Linked DNA regions of Arabidopsis thaliana. Each later gene encodes a partner of the first gene's protein in a complex. Each region holds a gene or a part of one and is shown in the gene's direction. Other genes may lie near its edges.

Region 1 (5,290 bases):
TCTCTTGCTCTAGAGACAAAACATCGGTATTTCTAAATTTGACTTGGTCCTTTCCATTCATGGTTCATGATGTGGGGCATATCTTGGAATTTTGTTGCATGTTTTTCATGCTGACAGCTTTTATATCCTTTTCCGTTTAATTGTCTGTCAGTAGAATATCAATTTTGTTAGAGTTAACAACAAAGGAATAAAACATGTGGCTGGATCAACTTTTTTGTAAGTTTGGCTGGTAGTAGGTGTTATGATCAAAAGCTTGTTCATAGTGGTTCAACCTGGAAAGCCAAATGTCAGACCACCTTATTATAATCTTAAAGTGAAAAACACGCAGAGAATAGAAGTGCAGTTCTCTCCGCAGCTACGGCATCTTTGTGGTTGATAATGTTGAAAGCTTCACTGTATTTGCTTGCTATACTAATTTCTTTTTCTGTCAAGCTTGATATTGAGCCTAGTGTACTTGTTGCAGATCTTCATTGGCGGATTTTCAAAAGCTATTTCATCTGAAATGGTATGCTGAACTGTAATTCTTTGAAAACATTTGACACGTTCAATCTTCTATTGTCCCCATTTCTATCGTTTCAACTTCTAGGATTGTCTGATTCCTCTTTAACGTTTTTCCAGCTTATGGAGATTGTCAGCGTCTTTGGACCTTTGAAAGCATACCGGTTCGTGAGCAACAATGATCTCAATCAGCGATGCGCTTTCCTAGAGGTTAGAATGTACTTTTATTTGTGGCCAAGATACCCCCATCTTAGTCTGCCATCTCGATGTAGTTCTTGTGATTGTTTCATATCTTTAATTTTTCATTTTCCGGGTAGCATGGGAAGGTGTTATTACCTTGTAACTTTTACAGAGTAACCATGAATGTGACTGTAGTTCCAAGTATATTCATATTAACCAGCCCTAACTCTTTTTAAATCTCTATATTTCAGTACACTGATGGATCTGTTACCCTCAAAGCTTGTGCTGGTCTAAATGGTATGAGGTTAGGTGGCAGTGTAATAACAGCCGTTTGTGCATTTCCTGATGCATCATCCGTAGCGGTAATTCAGTGACCCAACTTTGCTTTCGTTAGTTCATGTTGTGTTTGTATGGGTGACATTGAACAGAAATTCCTTTAGTTACTTGTGAGAGTGGTGTGTGTACGTAATATGTGTTGCAGGTGAATGAGAATCCACCATTCTATGGGATACCTAGCCATGCAAAACCACTTCTTGGCAAGCCTAAGAATATTCTAAAGCTAAAAAATGTGGTAAGCATAATTGGTGTATCCTTTTTCTTGTGAATCTTTCCCAAATAAACTATGTGAGGCTATATTAACATTCCATTCTTTCTTGTTTGACAGGTTGACCCAGAAGATCTCACGTCGTTTTCCGAGCAAGAAGTGAAAGAAATTTTGGAGGATGTACGGTTAGAATGTGCCAGGTTAAGCTCTGAGATCATCTTCCCATGAGTCCATTGAGCTTTTAAAAGCTAGTAAATTAAGAAAATAGGCCTCTGGGTCTTGTCATGATGCAGGTTTGGGGTTATTAAGTCGATAAACATCTTGGAACACAAGAGCAAAGATATCACTGTTTCTGAAACAAATCCATTGTTGAACTTAGAATCAACTGATTCTAAAGAAATGAATGTGTCAGTGATCGAGGAGAAAGATGAAGGATCCGAGAAAGCGGAAGATATTGCAGACAATGTAGATCTTGCAGAGGTTGTCATGCCAGACAGTTTGACAGGTGAAGACAAGTTATGTGAACCGTGCTCGGATACTGCTGCTGAAACAAGCACTCAAGAAAATGAAGATCTACACTCCACTGAACAAGAGCATTGTGAAAAGATTGTTGAAGAAAGTGCGCAGGCCGAGGCAGAGAATCCACAAGAAGTAGCATCAGTGCGTACCGTGAAGACAAGATGGGATGCTGGCGACAAGATAGAAGAAGAACAAGAAGAAGACCCCGAGGATGTATTTGAGACGGGTTGTATCTTCATTGAGTACAGAAGACCAGAAGCGACATGTGATGCAGCCCATTCTTTACACGGAAGGCTATATGATAACCGGATTGTGAAAGCAGAATATGTTTCTAAAGAGCTTTACCAAATCCGGTTCCCAAGTGGGTAAATAATCCCACAACAAGTGAGACTCTGTGATTCTTCTCATCTTTACCACATAACCGGTTCAAACCGAGTTCAGAGATACATAGCATCTACAATCAAAAACCCTTCAAAAATCTCTTTGTAATCGTTGGGATTGATCAGGTTGGATTATTCATCACCACCTGTGTCTCGTTACTTTTATGTATTAGAGAATCCAAGAAGGGAAAGATGAAACCATACTATTGTGTTGGTGGCTATATGGACCGGTTTGCTTACTGAAAAATTGTTGTGTTAAAAGAGAACGTAACCTTCTGAATGAGAAAGCGTCTTTCATTTTCTACAAAATAATAAATAAAATGAACCCAATCTCCTTCTTTATCCAAATCCTCCTTCGAAGCAGAAGTAACAGCAACCAAAAATGACGACAATGGCGACACAAGGCGCTTGGCTACGAATGACCTCATCAGCCAAGTCCATGACCAAGTCAACCGTGACTTCAAAGGAGCTTGGATTCCTCACCTCCCAGCTCAGCGGCTTAAGAATCTCATATACTCCCAGTGACGTCATCAACCGTATCTCCCTTCCTTCGTTCCCCGGGATTCAGCCAATCGTCGCACGTAATTCCCCTTTTCCCTTTCTCTTAGGGTTTAGTCGAATGCATTGGCGTACTAAATTTATCTTGCTTTCGTTTTATTCATGTCGAATTTCGAATCTCTGAGTTAGCAAGCTTGTGTTGAATTGTCTGGAACTATGTCTTTGCTTTTAGATATGAAAATGAGCAGTGTATTTAAAACCCGTAGCATAATTTCTCGTATTAAACTTTTCCTTTGAATTTGATGTTATGTTAAAAAAATTCTCCAAAATTGACCACATTTATATGATTCTGAGCATTGGGCAATTTGCTCCTTTTTTCTTGAAACTGTGTTTTTGTTTTCCAAAATGTCAGGTAGAATCTGCCCTTTTACTGGGAAGAAAGCAAACAGAGCAAACAAAGTTTCATTCTCTAACCACAAGACCAAGAAGTTGCAATTCGTCAACTTACAATACAAGAGAGTTTGGTGGGAAGCTGGCAAACGTTTTGTCAAACTTCGTTTATCAACTAAGGCTTTGAAGACCATTGAGAAGAACGGACTCGACGCTGTTGCCAAGAAAGCCGGCATTGATCTTCGCAAGAAATAGATATGATGATCGCAAAGTTTATTATATACATTTCTTGCTTCTCCTTTTGCAGTACTCGTACATTTCCTTTCTAGATTTTGGTAAGTATCAATGGAATCTCTGAGTTGTTGTATCAGACACTGTCAAGAAAAGACTTTAAAGAGAAACGAAAACAAACTCTCACTTGCAGGTGGCTCAAATAATACATTTCATGGTTTTGTTTATGTTTCTCAGATAATATCGTTACAGGTTGTATCAACTGAATTCTCGGGTTTTCCTTTTGAAGACTTCTTAATCGAACCTTCTCCTCCTGCTGATGATCCTTTTAGTTTCCTAGGACGCGATGTAGCCTTCCGTGGAGGAGCTGAACCATCAGGTATTTGATTAGGAACTTCTGTGTCTGGAGCCGGGATACCACCACGCCTTCTGCGAACTGATGGTTCTTGATCATTCGATGAGTCTGTTGACCCGTGTGCGCTTCGGTTATGTCTTGAATGCTTTGATGGTTCATCTGATGATGCAGCATTTCCGCTACTTTTTCTAGGCGGAGACCCGTTATGATTTGGAGAAGCTGCTCCTCCGGGTTTCCGCCTTGTTTTCTGTTTCGGTTTCTCGTTTGTGTTCGAAGGCAGTAACTCTTTTAGCCCGGCTCCACGTTGGTTCGTCCCTATTGAGATACACATCAATTCCTCGAACCAATCCAGATTTGTTCCTCAAAGCTTAACACTTTAAGGGAAAAGGAAAAACACACTTTGCAAAAATAACTAACCTTGCGGGTTGTATTTGTTGGAATTTCCCCTGGAAACGACTTGACCTTTCTCATGTTCTTGAGTTTTAAAGTCATTCATCTGCAGTTTTTGTCCCATAAAAAAACAATAATGAGCACAGATACGTGTGACATGTATGAAAATACGTATAAATGTACGTATGATCTTACCCAGCTTGGTGTGGTGTTGGTTGGACCGTCGGAGCCAATGTGGGCAACATGCTTTACATCGGTCGGAAATCCTATCTGCATCTCCTGCTCTTTCTCTTCATCTGCAATAGAATAATTACATCCACCATGTAATTTGACTTTTGACACAAGAAACACAAATGATTTTTCATTTTTTTCATGTTTATGGGGAAAATGAATGAGACTCACCAAAAATCTGAGTAATGTAACGAAGGCCCTTAAGAAGACCCTTCATTGTCGTCGCCATTGGTCTATAAAGGGTTGGTTCCGGCTAATGTGTATCCACACGCCGGATACAACCTTTGTGGTTCAAGATTTGACGATCGTTACCGTAAACCTAACATGCAGAAAAAGAAAACGAAGAACAAATCAAGAAAAAAGTTGTAAGGCACAAACAAAAAAACAACAGAGAATATAACGAAATCTGAAGACTTAAACCTTGAACGCATGGATTTTCTCTTGACGAGAAAAAAAAATGTTGAAATGTTTTGAAGAGAGAGAGAGAGGGAGGGAGGGAGAGAGAGAAGGATCGAGAGATCTCCGAGGAGTTATTGGTTAAAGATCAACAGACCAAAAAGAAGAAGAGGAAGAGCACTAAGTTTTGTTGTTGTTTTAACAGAGGATAAAAAAATTTAGAAAAGAAAGAAATATTTTCATAGTTGTAATTAACAGATAATTTTATAATTAGATTGTTGATTGGTAATGGAGGCAACGTAGAGCTATTATCAAAGGGAACCCTCCTTTGGGAAACAAGTTGTCAAGAGGATTTTCCGGGTCGAATGGAAGGAGACACGACCACACCAATTTCTTATTTTACTAATAAACATACTCTAATGAAATCTAAGATAGTATAAAGTATTATTTAGAGAAATTGCATAGATTGCAAATACTGAAAAATGTGATATCTGAATACTAAGATAATAATTGAGAGATTTTGCAATAGTAAGCAAAATGGTTTGAACTTTGAAGCATGAGATTTACTATCTTAAAGACTTTACATTATTTTTTAACAAGTTAAACATTATTATGTTATGTGAAATATTTTGAAAATAAATTTCTTAGATTATGAAAAGAAAGATTCAAGTTTTCATA
Region 2 (5,794 bases), on another chromosome or scaffold:
CCATCAGATTAACAGAAACCAACAAGTCTCTGATGGAGCTAGAATCTGCACCAGGAGTAATTGCAGCCTTGTAAGAGATCCTCGAGCGTTTCTTGGCTAATACATCGCCAAGGACAGATATCCCGTTCCTGCCACACTCATCATCAACGAATATCGCAATGACTTGTCTCCATCCGGAATATGATAGAAAATCTGCGATCGCATGCATTTGGAAGTAATCATTCTGCGTGGTGCGGAGGAAATAAGGAAATTGCAGAGAGGAGAGAGTCGGATCCGTTGCTCCAAATGACAAGAGAGGTACATGAAGCTCATTAGCTACATAGGAGATCATGTGAGCAATCCCTGAAGATTGTGGACCAATGGCTGCAACCACTTTGTTTTCCATCAGCTGCAAAGCTACACCATAAGATGAAACATAATCATCACTCATTCTTTGGGGGCATTTTCACAAACTAGTTCTGAGTTAAAAAGTTGGCCACAGTAGTAAGAGAGAAGAAGAAGGAGAAGCAGTATATATACCTCCCATGGTGCCGATAAATCCACTGCAATTTGAGTCTTGAAAGATGATATTAAGCTTGATGCCCTTAAGAACACTTTGGTCAGCATTAACATCATCCATAGCTGCTTTAACCGCGGGTTTAGCCGCTCTTCCGATAAAAGAATCATAAGTAAACAGAGCTCCAACATTCACAGAGCTTGGCCTCTGTCTTAATGGCCGCAAAGAAGAAGAAGAAGAAGAAGACGAGTTTCTAGAGAAATTACTTCTACAAGCACATTCCTTTGGAACAACCCACAAGACAGAAACACATAACAACACAACTCTGATTGCTTTCGCCATGGAAACTTCTCTTATCATCACCAAAAATCCCATCTTTATCACAATTTCCAGCAAAAGCACTAGTTTTTCTTTGTCCTGGTCTCATATAACCATTTGATTTATTTGGAGTAACACCTGCGAAATAAACAATGCCCAACCTGAATCAAAATTGAGATTATAACAAAAGACAAAAAAGATGGTCCAGAAATCTGGTGAAAGAAGGCAAAACCAACCAAGAAATCGGGAGTTAGATTCTGTAGAGAGATTGGTGTATACAGATTTTTGTGTCTGTATATTTATTTATAGTGTATAAAATAATGTATTTATATGAGGCCCTTTGATTCTAGAAACTGGTGCTTTACATGTGCAAGTAAGAACTGAAAATAATGAAGTGTAAGAGGGCCGTCTTAAAGATGGTTCGCAGAGAAAGAAGCAAAAAGTGTAATAAATAATTCAATGAACAAATAACTAAAGATTATATATGTAAGAACATAAAGAAAAACAAAAATTAAAAGATCCAATTGAGAAAAAGAAGAAGCAACCTTGGAATAAATACGAGAAACAAACTTTAATCAGAGATCCATAATCTTCACAAGTAAACGAGTGATTTAGCACTAAGCATAAAGAAGAAAGACAGAGAAAAGAAGTCGAAGAAGCAGAAGAAGAACTGTTTCTGAGCTCAAGCAAAGAATAATTCATAATATTCTCTCTCCTTTTTTTTCCCTATTTTCTTCCTTATCATTACTTATTTTTTTGGTATTTTATGAAATTTTGTAAATTTTGTTTTGGAGTGCTATTTCTGGAGTGGTCAGTGAAGACGTAGGCCAAGGTGTGGGGTAGTATGATCGATGCTTTACTTGTGTCCTCATACTATTCGATAAATCAAATTTTTACGTTGGCTCTTATTGGTAACTATCATTTATTAAGGTAGTTGATGCATTTTTCTTTTTGGTTACAACGGATATAGTTAAATGGTAATTAGGGTAACTACGTATGACATGAGGCAAAATAATAATTGAAAATGTGAATGTGAGGAGTGACGACCTAATTGCTCCAAGGCCGCCTTCGTCAAAGAATAAGTCTCCTCAACGGTTGTCAAATCAATTTCACACAAAAAAAAAAGAAAAGAAAAAGATATTTTCAGACATAAATAGTAAAGTAATTGTACTATTGATTTCATATGATAAAAGGTGCATGAAACACATGGTCGACTATTTTTTGTCTTTAGAGTGTTCATTAAGGAATGTTATTAAAAAAAACTTATAAGAGCTGCATTTGTTATTACATAGTTCCTTATTGAAATTTTCATTTGTTAATTGTTAACACAAAATAAAATATGCCACTGAATCCACAAATATCTTGTCGGTATCGAACTTTTTATTTATTTAGAACAAGAATATCTTGACCAAATGAAATGTGAACCAGGAAAATAAATATACAGTTCATCTTTTTTTTCTTTGAATCTTCTCAATTTGTTGTTTGGATTTTTCTGAGGGTAAGGGCCCATTTCATTTTTAAATTTGTCTGTTAAGAGTAGTTTAAAATCCATGCCTTTAAAAGATTCGACTTGAAAACATACTTAATCGGGAAAGATGCACAATTTTGATCCAAACGCATCTACTAATAATCTATTGACTTCATTAATCTAATCCAAACTCCACGTTCATTGGGTAAATTTTGTGAACAGTTATTATAATAATGGGCCTAGAAACAGTGAGATAATAGGCCATGATCAATATAGATAAATGGGTTACACAAATAATGAATTGTCCCACAGAAGGATGGTTAAAAGTAATGGGCCGAAAATAGTGAGCTAATGGGCCGTGAAAGTAATGATTTGAAAGAGGGGATTACAGAAGCTGACGATGGATAAGTCTTTTCTGGATAAAACGCTCTTCTTCTTCTCTTCATCCTCCTTCTGGAGCAGAGCTTAGAGCTCCATCATCAAATCTTATCAATGGCTTCCTCACTCGTCTCATCTTTTCAACCCAGGTACTTTTCATATACTACAAACCATAGAGCTTCTTCATTCCGCTAGGGTTTCGTTTTCTTTACTTGGCATTTTCTACTCAAAAATCTCTATAAACTGTGTTCATGAGCCTCCCAAGTATAAGGAATCTCTTTGAATGGGTTATTTTTATCTTTTTAAATCGATGGCAATGTTGAATTGGTTATGGACTCTTGAAATTGTGGATTTTTATTTTGGGAATTTGAATGTGTTATGCGGAACTCACTGTGTAAAAAGCAGGATTCTAGAGGGGTTTTTAGCCATGGAAACTGAAAGTTCTACAAGAATGTTTCTCTTCCTTAATCTAACGTTATCTTTGTTCCAATAACAGTTTCTGTGTATTGGTTTAGATATATATCTGGTAGAGTTTTACTTTCTTGACATGTTTTATCTGAAGATAGATAGATAACTTCCCCTTTGTTTTAGGTCAGCATTTTTGGGAGATAGAAATGTGTTCAAGGTCTCAAGCACACCTTTTGCTCAAGTGGGTTACTCCAGTAAGACCATTGAGTGCAAAGAATCAAGGATAGGAAAGCAACCGATCGCTGTACCTTCCAATGTAACCATTGCATTGGAAGGTCAAGACTTGAAAGTGAAGGGTCCATTAGGAGAGCTGGCTTTAACTTACCCACGCGAAGTTGAGCTTACAAAGGAAGAATCCGGTTTCTTAAGGGTCAAAAAAACCGTCGAAACTAGAAGAGCCAACCAAATGCACGGCCTTTTCAGGTTACAAACTTCTCATCTTTTCTTGTCATCCAATGAAGTCCTTAACTTTTTTGAGGTTAAAAGATCGTTTGTTCTCTAATCTTTTTTTTTAACTTCTGTGTGACTTTTAGGACGCTTACCGATAACATGGTTGTGGGAGTATCAAAGGGATTTGAGAAAAAGCTTATACTTGTGGGTGTTGGTTATCGTGCAACAGTAGACGGAAAGGAGCTGGTGCTAAATCTCGGGTTTTCACACCCGGTGAAGATGCAGATACCGGATAGTCTGAAAGTGAAAGTGGAAGAGAACACAAGAATCACTGTGAGTGGATACGACAAGAGCGAAATCGGGCAGTTTGCTGCAACGGTTAGGAAGTGGAGGCCACCAGAGCCATACAAGGGGAAAGGAGTCAAGTATTCCGATGAGATAGTTCGGAGGAAGGAAGGAAAAGCTGGAAAGAAGAAATGATCTTCATTTTTCATTATTATCTACTTACTTATCTCTTCCTTTCAATGTTTATGTGTATTTGCTCAAATTTGTTTAGAAATGAAGATGTTTGTGTTGGGATTCTTGAGTAAGTTTTTAAAGGAACCCATTAATTGTTTTTGATGCTCTGACAAAAATTTCTTTAGTGCTTTGATTGAACAAGAACTTGGGCACAAAGTGCCTCATCGGTGTGATTCTATTGTTATGTTTCCTTATTGAACCAAACCAATCCAAATCGGACAAAAATCATGGTAGATAAACTTTTTAAAACAATTTTTTAATCTATTCTTCTTTTTTTTAATTACAAATTTTCTTATTTTCTTATATCTAAAAAATCGTAACAGTAAGATATTAATATCTGTATTCTTAATTTGGTAGATAACTTTTTAAAAAACGAAAATTTCCTATAAGAATAATAATAGTCGGAAATAAAACAAAAAACAATATCATGGTGATTATTCTTATTTGCTTATATCTTCTTCTTTTTCACAATTTTTTTTTAAAAAAAATATTTACAAAATTTTCTTATTTGCTTATATATATAAAAAATCAGTAAGATATTAATATCGATTTTTTAATTTGGTAGATAACTTTTTTCAAACGATAAATTTCCTAAAAACAATAAAATATTCGGAAATAAACAAAAACCCTGATTGAAGAAAAGTCTTTTTGTTTATCAGTTCACCGGAGGCAAAAATCGTCTCTCGCTTGAGCTGCGAAGATGCAAGCAGTAAAAAGATCCAGGAGACATGTTGAAGAAGAGCCAACAATGGTAGAACCTAAAACCAAGTACGATCGTCAGCTCAGGTATACATACTCTTTTTCCTTAAACTCTACTTCGAACTACTCTTGTCGGGAGGAAAATTGATGAAGTAGTAATCGTTGGGTTGACTGATTAGGATTTGGGGGGAGGTAGGTCAAGCGGCCTTGGAAGAAGCGAGTATCTGTTTACTCAATTGTGGCCCTACTGGTTCCGAGGCTTTGAAGAATCTCGTACTTGGTGGTGTTGGTAGCATCACCGTTGTTGATGGATCTAAGGTTCAATTTGGTGACCTTGGGAACAATTTCATGGGTACTGACTAATTTTGAAACTTTTTGATTGTGTTTCTTCTGGGGGTTTTGGGGGACTTGCTTGCGTTATGATGATTTTTTTTTTTCATGTGAAGTCGATGCGAAGAGTGTTGGCCAATCAAAAGCCAAATCTGTTTGTGCGTTTCTCCAAGAGCTTAATGATTCTGTTAACGCCAAGTTTATTGAGGAGAATCCAGACACGTTGATTACTACTAACCCATCTTTCTTCTCTCAGTTCACTCTCGTTATAGCCACTCAGGTACCATTGTTTTTCTATTTGTAATCTTCTCTAATGATTTGTGTGTTACAATTTTTCAAAGTTCTAATCTTTGCTTACACAGTCACTCACCATGGATCATGATACCTTCTATTCAATGTTCTTTAGTTAGTTTCTCATATGTACTTTTCCTCGTCCTCTTCACGGGATATTGCTTTATTAGGCTTCTTTTTCCTGTGTTATTGTTATTTAAGTTCGTTATTTCATCCCCTTTTCGACATTGATTGGTTGCAGCTGGTGGAAGATTCAATGTTGAAACTTGATAGAATCTGTCGAGATGCAAACGTTAAGTTGGTTTTGGTTCGCTCTTATGGCCTTGCTGGGTTTGTTCGCATCTCTGTAAAGGTAATTAATACCACCTGTCTAGACCCAATTTGTGATAAAGTTTAGATTACTTTGTGGTATGCCGTGGTTAGGATATTGGCCAATG
Region 3 (5,794 bases), on another chromosome or scaffold:
CCTATGTTTTCTGCTTCTAACTGCAAAGAGGAAATAACAGGACAGCTTGCATCATTGACCATGCCCACCCTCACTCTCTAATTATACATACACTAGTTTACCTTTTTGACTTTCTGTTGGAGTTCATCAACAGCCTGCTGTAAGGATTGTATAGTTTTTGATACAATATCTTCGTATACGGTTTCCACTTCAGCCATCGAATCTAGGCTGAAAATGATCCCTTCCTGTATAAACACATCTTCTAGCATTTTGATGTCTTCGTTGCTCATCCTCTCTTTCATCTGTATAAAATAACAATAATGCAAATGTATCTTCTACATCCCGTTTTCTGAATATTAGAGAGAATGAGGAAATGGCTGACGTAGAGTCTTAACCTTTTCTAGGATCCTCCCACATTTTTCATCTTTGGTAACCGAGGAGGGTTCCTCCTGTGCCTTCGCAGATTTCACTTCACTAGCACGTGGTGATGCTTTTATGTGTTTTGCCCTGTACAGTAAATGGAAGCAAACATCTCTCTTAAACACGTTCAATAACGTAACACATGGAGCAAGAAACCGTTACTGTGCTCTGAGATGCATACCTCATGCCAAACCTGAGAGTTGAGAGCGTCTCAGATGCATTTAAAGTGCTTGGTGAGCAACAGCAAAGCAGCGCCATTCGAGAATTTCCACCCTGTGGCATGAGAGACCACAATAGAATTGAGAACAAGCTAGAAAATTATAAAATAAAATCAACCTGAGAAGATATACTAACCAGGGCATCCTGTAAGATGCGAGTAAGCTTGGAGTCACGATATGGTATGTGATTCCCTTTGCTAGATGGCCCACTAGTGAGAGCGTTTATCACGTTCCCCAAGGCTGAGAGCGATTTATTGATCGTCTTCGCTTCTTCAAGAACCCTACCTTCTGCTCCAGTTTTGTCTGCTTTCTCTGAGCCAGCCAGGTCGACAAGAATCAGTTTTCCTGTTTTTACCCTGTTCACATGCCAGATATGTATATAAGCTCCACCACTACAGCATCACTTTTTTCTGATTAATTGTAAAAAATCGTTACCTTTTATCTTTAACTGAATCCTGCTGGATTGTGAACAAGTAGGCGCAGTGGCTTCTACTGCTGGACATATTCATTTCTGTCATTCATTGTTAAACTGGAAACATTCTTCAAGATGACTCTCAATCAGTTTTAACCTTTCAGTCAACTCGGAGTAGCATAATCATAATCTCACTATCGACTAAATGGGGAAACATTGAACAAGTAAGTGCTGTAAAAGCTAAGAGGATACGGGTTTCCCCAACTGCGCGGTTAGCTAAACCGGTCTGAAATGGCAATTGGCATCAGAAATAAGAAAGAAGAAGGCCGTATAAGGCAATTAAGAAACTTAGGGTAGCTGCTATCTTACGCATAGATGTTGTAATGCCTCCACCGAATCTGATACAGGCACCTGAAGCAACGAATGATTAAAACTTGCCTACCCAGTAAAGATTTTTCTCAACACTAGCAAATAGAAGATATAAGACAATGAAGCTAGCCTCTGTAACGCCTGACAAGAGTATTCCTTGTGTTTTGTTCTCCTTGATCTGTATGTTTGCTTTTGATAAGTCCAACAGGTCCCTGAGAGATATATGAATTTATCGATAAGCTATATACCCTAGAAGAAATCAGAGGGAATTACATACACAATACCTGACTTTCTCCATGTAGATCTCAACCTAGAGGAGACAAAAGACACGTAAGATGTCTATACAGGAGAGCTTGAAAGGAGACTTATAGCAAGTGCATTTAAGTCAGTACCATAGACAATTTAACAGTGTATCTTGCAATATCATTGGAAGAGCTGATTTGCTCAAACATCCCATGGACCACTCTTGGAAGAAGTCCTTTATTGTGCTCATCACAGTCCTGGATGCCTGGTCCCTGAATCAATCGAAGAAAACCAAAATGAGCCAGAAGAAGGAATGGTCCTTGTGCTACAGGAAGAGGTATCAAGATGAGTTAGGTGACCTCCATGGAATAAGTCTTCCCAGCCCCTGTCTGCATAGTATAACATGAAACGATCAAATTGAGATCAAAATCTGCCAAATTAAGAAAAAGACATTGAAAGCATTTCCAGATAAAAGAGATCAGGAGAAGAACAAACCTGTCCATAAGTGATGATTGTTCCGTTTATACCATTTACAGCGTCTGAAAGTAGTAGTAGTAGTACAAAGGTAAAAGATGCAAAAGACAAAGGTAGGAGGAAACCAAAACCAAAAATGTTGATTACATTGTAAAATCATAAGATTGGTGCTCAAATGTTTAGATCTAAAATCCAGAAGAGAAGATCAAGGAATCAATTAGTACCTCTCATGATGGGGAGAGCCAGAAACTCATAAACCGCAGCTTGGGTAGAGTCCTCATAAAAAACTCTATCGAGGCTAAATGTAAATTCATCTTCCTTGTCATCCTACACGCAAGTAAAAACGCTAGATAGAGTTTGAGAGACAGAGAGAGAGAGACAATATTAATCAAGCACACGGCGTCGAGTAGACAAACTTGGAAAACGAAGGTTTCAGCGTCGATGGGTCGAGCACAGACACCATCTCTGCTGGGATCGCGCATCTCTTTAGAGCTTCGCGGCCTGAATCGCGCACAGACGGTTACGTTAGACATCTCCTCTCCTTATCGGAACGAGCTCAGTCTACAGTGAAACACCCAAAATGAGTCAGCAGAAGATGAATGAAATTGGGGAAATAGTAGCACAGGAAATTTGAAGCTGAGAGAAAAGGAATCGGAACTTACCTCTCAAATGGAGTGGAGAGTCAGAGTAGGGTTTCTCTTACGGGCGGGAAAGAAGAAACTCGAAATCTGATTTTTGAGAAAAGAGAAGGAAGAAGAAGAAGGAGAAGGAGAAGAGGTCACGAGGATACGCGTGTGGGTTGTTAAAAGATCTAATGGTCCATAAGAAGACACGTGTCACTAGGAACACGGTAGCTAAGGTGCCCGCCACGCAGAGAATAATAGCTTAGAAAGAATAGGGGGTGTTGTTATCCCCTTGGGCGTGGAGTGGATTAGGGAGACTCGCACTCTTCTTCTTCTTCTTTGTACCCAGAAAGAAAGAGAGCTCCAACAATGGCTGCTTGCGCTACTCACTCCTCTCTCATGCTAGCATACGCCGCCGCATCCACTCGTTCCCAGGACCTTACCCCTACTCCATCTCTTTTCTCTTTTGCCAGCTCCAGACCCAACCACTTGAGCTTCCCGCTTCTTCTCCTTGGGGGTTCCAGGGACCGGAGATGTGCTGCTATTGACAGAGCTTCCAACCACAAGTTTATTGTCTCCGCCGTGGCCGCTGAGGCTGACCTCGACACGGAGGAGGACCTGGAGCAGACCGCCACCGCCGTCCTTGATCCGCCCAAGCCTAAGAAAGGAAAAGCCGCTTTGGTTCTCAAGAGAGATAGAGTATGTGCTTTACCTACTTCAATTTCGCTTCCTTTACTCGTGAATCATCACTTTGTTTGCTTACCCATTGACAGACAAGGTCTAAGAGGTTTTTGGAAATCCAAAAGCTAAGGGAAACCAAAAAGGAGTATGATGTCAACACTGCTATCTCTTTGCTTAAACAAACTGCCAACACAAGGTTTGTTGAGTCTGTTGAAGCCCATTTCCGTCTCAACATCGATCCTAAGTACAATGACCAGCAGCTGCGTGCAACGGTCTGCTTTGCCTTTTGCTGGATATACACTCTATCTTGTGCTGCTTCATTCCACAACATTTTTTAATCTCAATGCATTGTCTTTTTGTATAGGTGAGCCTGCCTAAGGGAACTGGCCAGACTGTTATAGTCGCTGTTCTTGCACAAGGTATATTGCCCCACCAAATTCACTGCTAGGACTTAGGACAGAGATTATGCTTTACCATTTCAGTCACCAAATTCACTGTTAGGACTTAGGACAGAGATAATGTTTACGGTATCAGTCAGTCAGTCAGTACTTCTCTAGATGCAACATTGTTTGGTGCGATTGACTTTTTATTTATATATTGATTGGATGGAGTTCTTGTGTATCATGTGGCTTATTCTTTCTAAATCTTTGGCTTGCACCATTTCCATGCTGAACTTCCAGGTGAGAAGGTTGATGAAGCCAAAAGTGCAGGGGCAGATATTGTGGGCAGTGATGATTTAATCGAACAGATTAAAGGAGGCTTCATGGAGTTTGACAAGCTGATTGCATCCCCGGATATGATGGTCAAGGTATGTGTTGATGATATAATGTTCTACTTGTTACAGCATATGAAACCGTCATGCTTGGCAAATAAGGTGGCATGAGATACTTGTAACTCGTGATCTATTTTCTAACATTCTTGAACTTGGCGCTTAGGTTGCTGGCCTGGGAAAGATTCTTGGACCACGGGGGCTCATGCCAAATCCCAAGGCTGGTACAGTCACAGCGAACATTCCCCAGGTAAGCCTACTCTGCAACATCTTTTCCTGATTCTGGTAGTCATGGCTTAAAGATGCATAAATCTCTCAGGCTATTGAAGAGTTCAAGAAGGGGAAAGTTGAATTCAGAGCAGACAAAACTGGGATTGTTCACATTCCATTTGGGAAAGTTAATTTTACAGAGGAAGACCTTCTCATAAACTTCCTTGCAGCAGTGGTAGGCTAATTCTCCATTCTTATTACGTATTTCTGTGGTTTAAAATACAAAAAAAAATGAAGAGGGAAAAGTAAATGATGAAATGCAGAAATCGGTGGAGACAAACAAGCCAAAGGGAGCTAAAGGAGTGTACTGGAAAAGCGCTCACATATGCTCGTCAATGGGGCCTTCCATCAAGTTGAACATAAGAGAGATGATAGACTTCAAGCCTCCCACTGCGAACTAATCGACAACGCCATTTGTAAATGGGGTCCTTTTGGGAGACGGGCAATGCCAGTGTAGACAGAGAAGAGAAACACCAAGTCTAGTCTGTTAGTAATCTTTTCACGCCTCACTGCTTTGTATCACTTTGATGGCCATTTGCTTCTTGTCGTTATTTATTTACTATTGCCTATTAAAATTTGGCAAGGGGCTGTACATGTCAGGACGCAGAACTCTTTAGTACTCTCTAAAAGAAAAGACCTTACATTGATCTTTAGGTTACATACGAGGAGGAGGTTTCTGTGTACATTACATGTGATTTACTACTACAAATATTACAAGGCCAGACTCTGCTTCGTCATTTCCATTTTGGTGAGAAGCCCTCTCATCTCTTCCTCCATTCTCATCTTCATTTCATAAAACTCTCTCTGCCCTCTCTGCATTGCCTCTAACTCCTCGTACCTCCTCCTCCTTCTCTCCTGTGCATCCTCCATACTCAACTTCCCCATTCTCCGATTGTACTCTTCTTCTATCTTCTCCTTCTTCGCTATTGCTATTCGTTTCAGTCCCTCTGCTTCTCTTCGTGCATCATCGGCCCGCCCTTGGAACATTTCTGCCTCTGCTTGCTTCATTCTCACAATGCTCTCTAGCTCTTCGAAACGAGGTTCCTTTGGTGAACCCCTTTCCAACTCCATCTCCACTGCACATATTTCAACTTGCCTCTCTCTGTGGAATGCATCAGCTACGCTCGCTGACCTTTTCAGCTGATTATGCGGGTTATCTGAGCACACCGATCTCAGCCACGCCGTGTCCTGACTAGGGCTTCCCCTCTCATGCCTGGGTTTTGGCTGTTCGTATATGAACGGTGCACTAGTTTCAGCAGGAGTGGAGGAATCACAGTCTGCAATCAACAGGCAAAGTATCGACAGATTGTTACAAGGAATATCTATGGCACATATA

What was found.
Region 2: PRPL28 (region 1) and emb2394 share a complex: the UniProt entries of both Arabidopsis thaliana proteins name them as parts of the 50S ribosomal subunit.
Region 3: PRPL28 (region 1) and EMB3126 share a complex: the UniProt entries of both Arabidopsis thaliana proteins name them as parts of the 50S ribosomal subunit.

What each region holds. Positions count from the first base shown.
Region 1 is NC_003071.7:14,171,117-14,176,406, forward strand, and holds PRPL28 (Ribosomal L28 family), read left to right. Parts: upstream 1-2,462; 5' UTR 2,463-2,503; coding exon 2,504-2,702; intron 2,703-3,027; exon of another isoform or gene 3,028-3,031; coding exon 3,032-3,264; 3' UTR 3,265-3,473; downstream 3,474-5,290. Other genes in the region: AT2G33435 (RNA-binding (RRM/RBD/RNP motifs) family protein), read left to right, coding at 464-505, 619-708, 930-1,040, 1,160-1,249, 1,343-1,422, 1,516-2,110; RIC1 (ROP-interactive CRIB motif-containing protein 1), read right to left, coding at 3,474-3,910, 4,013-4,091, 4,181-4,281, 4,388-4,445.
Region 2 is NC_003070.9:1,500,719-1,506,512, reverse strand, and holds emb2394 (Ribosomal protein L6 family), read left to right. Parts: upstream 1-2,659; 5' UTR 2,660-2,774; coding exon 2,775-2,809; intron 2,810-3,251; coding exon 3,252-3,551; intron 3,552-3,661; coding exon 3,662-3,998; 3' UTR 3,999-4,262; downstream 4,263-5,794. Other genes in the region: GLR3.4 (glutamate receptor 3.4), read right to left, coding at 1-396, 520-871; AXR1 (NAD(P)-binding Rossmann-fold superfamily protein), read left to right, coding at 4,738-4,823, 4,916-5,088, 5,183-5,346, 5,599-5,709. UniProt on the Arabidopsis thaliana protein: This protein binds directly to 23S ribosomal RNA and is located at the aminoacyl-tRNA binding site of the peptidyltransferase center.
Region 3 is NC_003074.8:23,441,162-23,446,955, forward strand, and holds EMB3126 (Ribosomal protein L1p/L10e family), read left to right. Parts: upstream 1-3,041; 5' UTR 3,042-3,107; coding exon 3,108-3,437; intron 3,438-3,511; coding exon 3,512-3,691; intron 3,692-3,783; coding exon 3,784-3,838; exon of another isoform or gene 3,839-4,099; coding exon 4,100-4,227; intron 4,228-4,354; coding exon 4,355-4,438; intron 4,439-4,507; coding exon 4,508-4,633; intron 4,634-4,721; coding exon 4,722-4,859; 3' UTR 4,860-5,169; downstream 5,170-5,794. Other genes in the region: AT3G63480 (ATP binding microtubule motor family protein), read right to left, coding at 1-20, 102-281, 375-486, 581-672, 754-973, 1,053-1,128, 1,282-1,315, 1,399-1,440 and 7 more; TTA2 (fibronectin type III domain protein (DUF1423)), read right to left, coding at 5,170-5,735. UniProt on the Arabidopsis thaliana protein: This protein binds directly to 23S ribosomal RNA.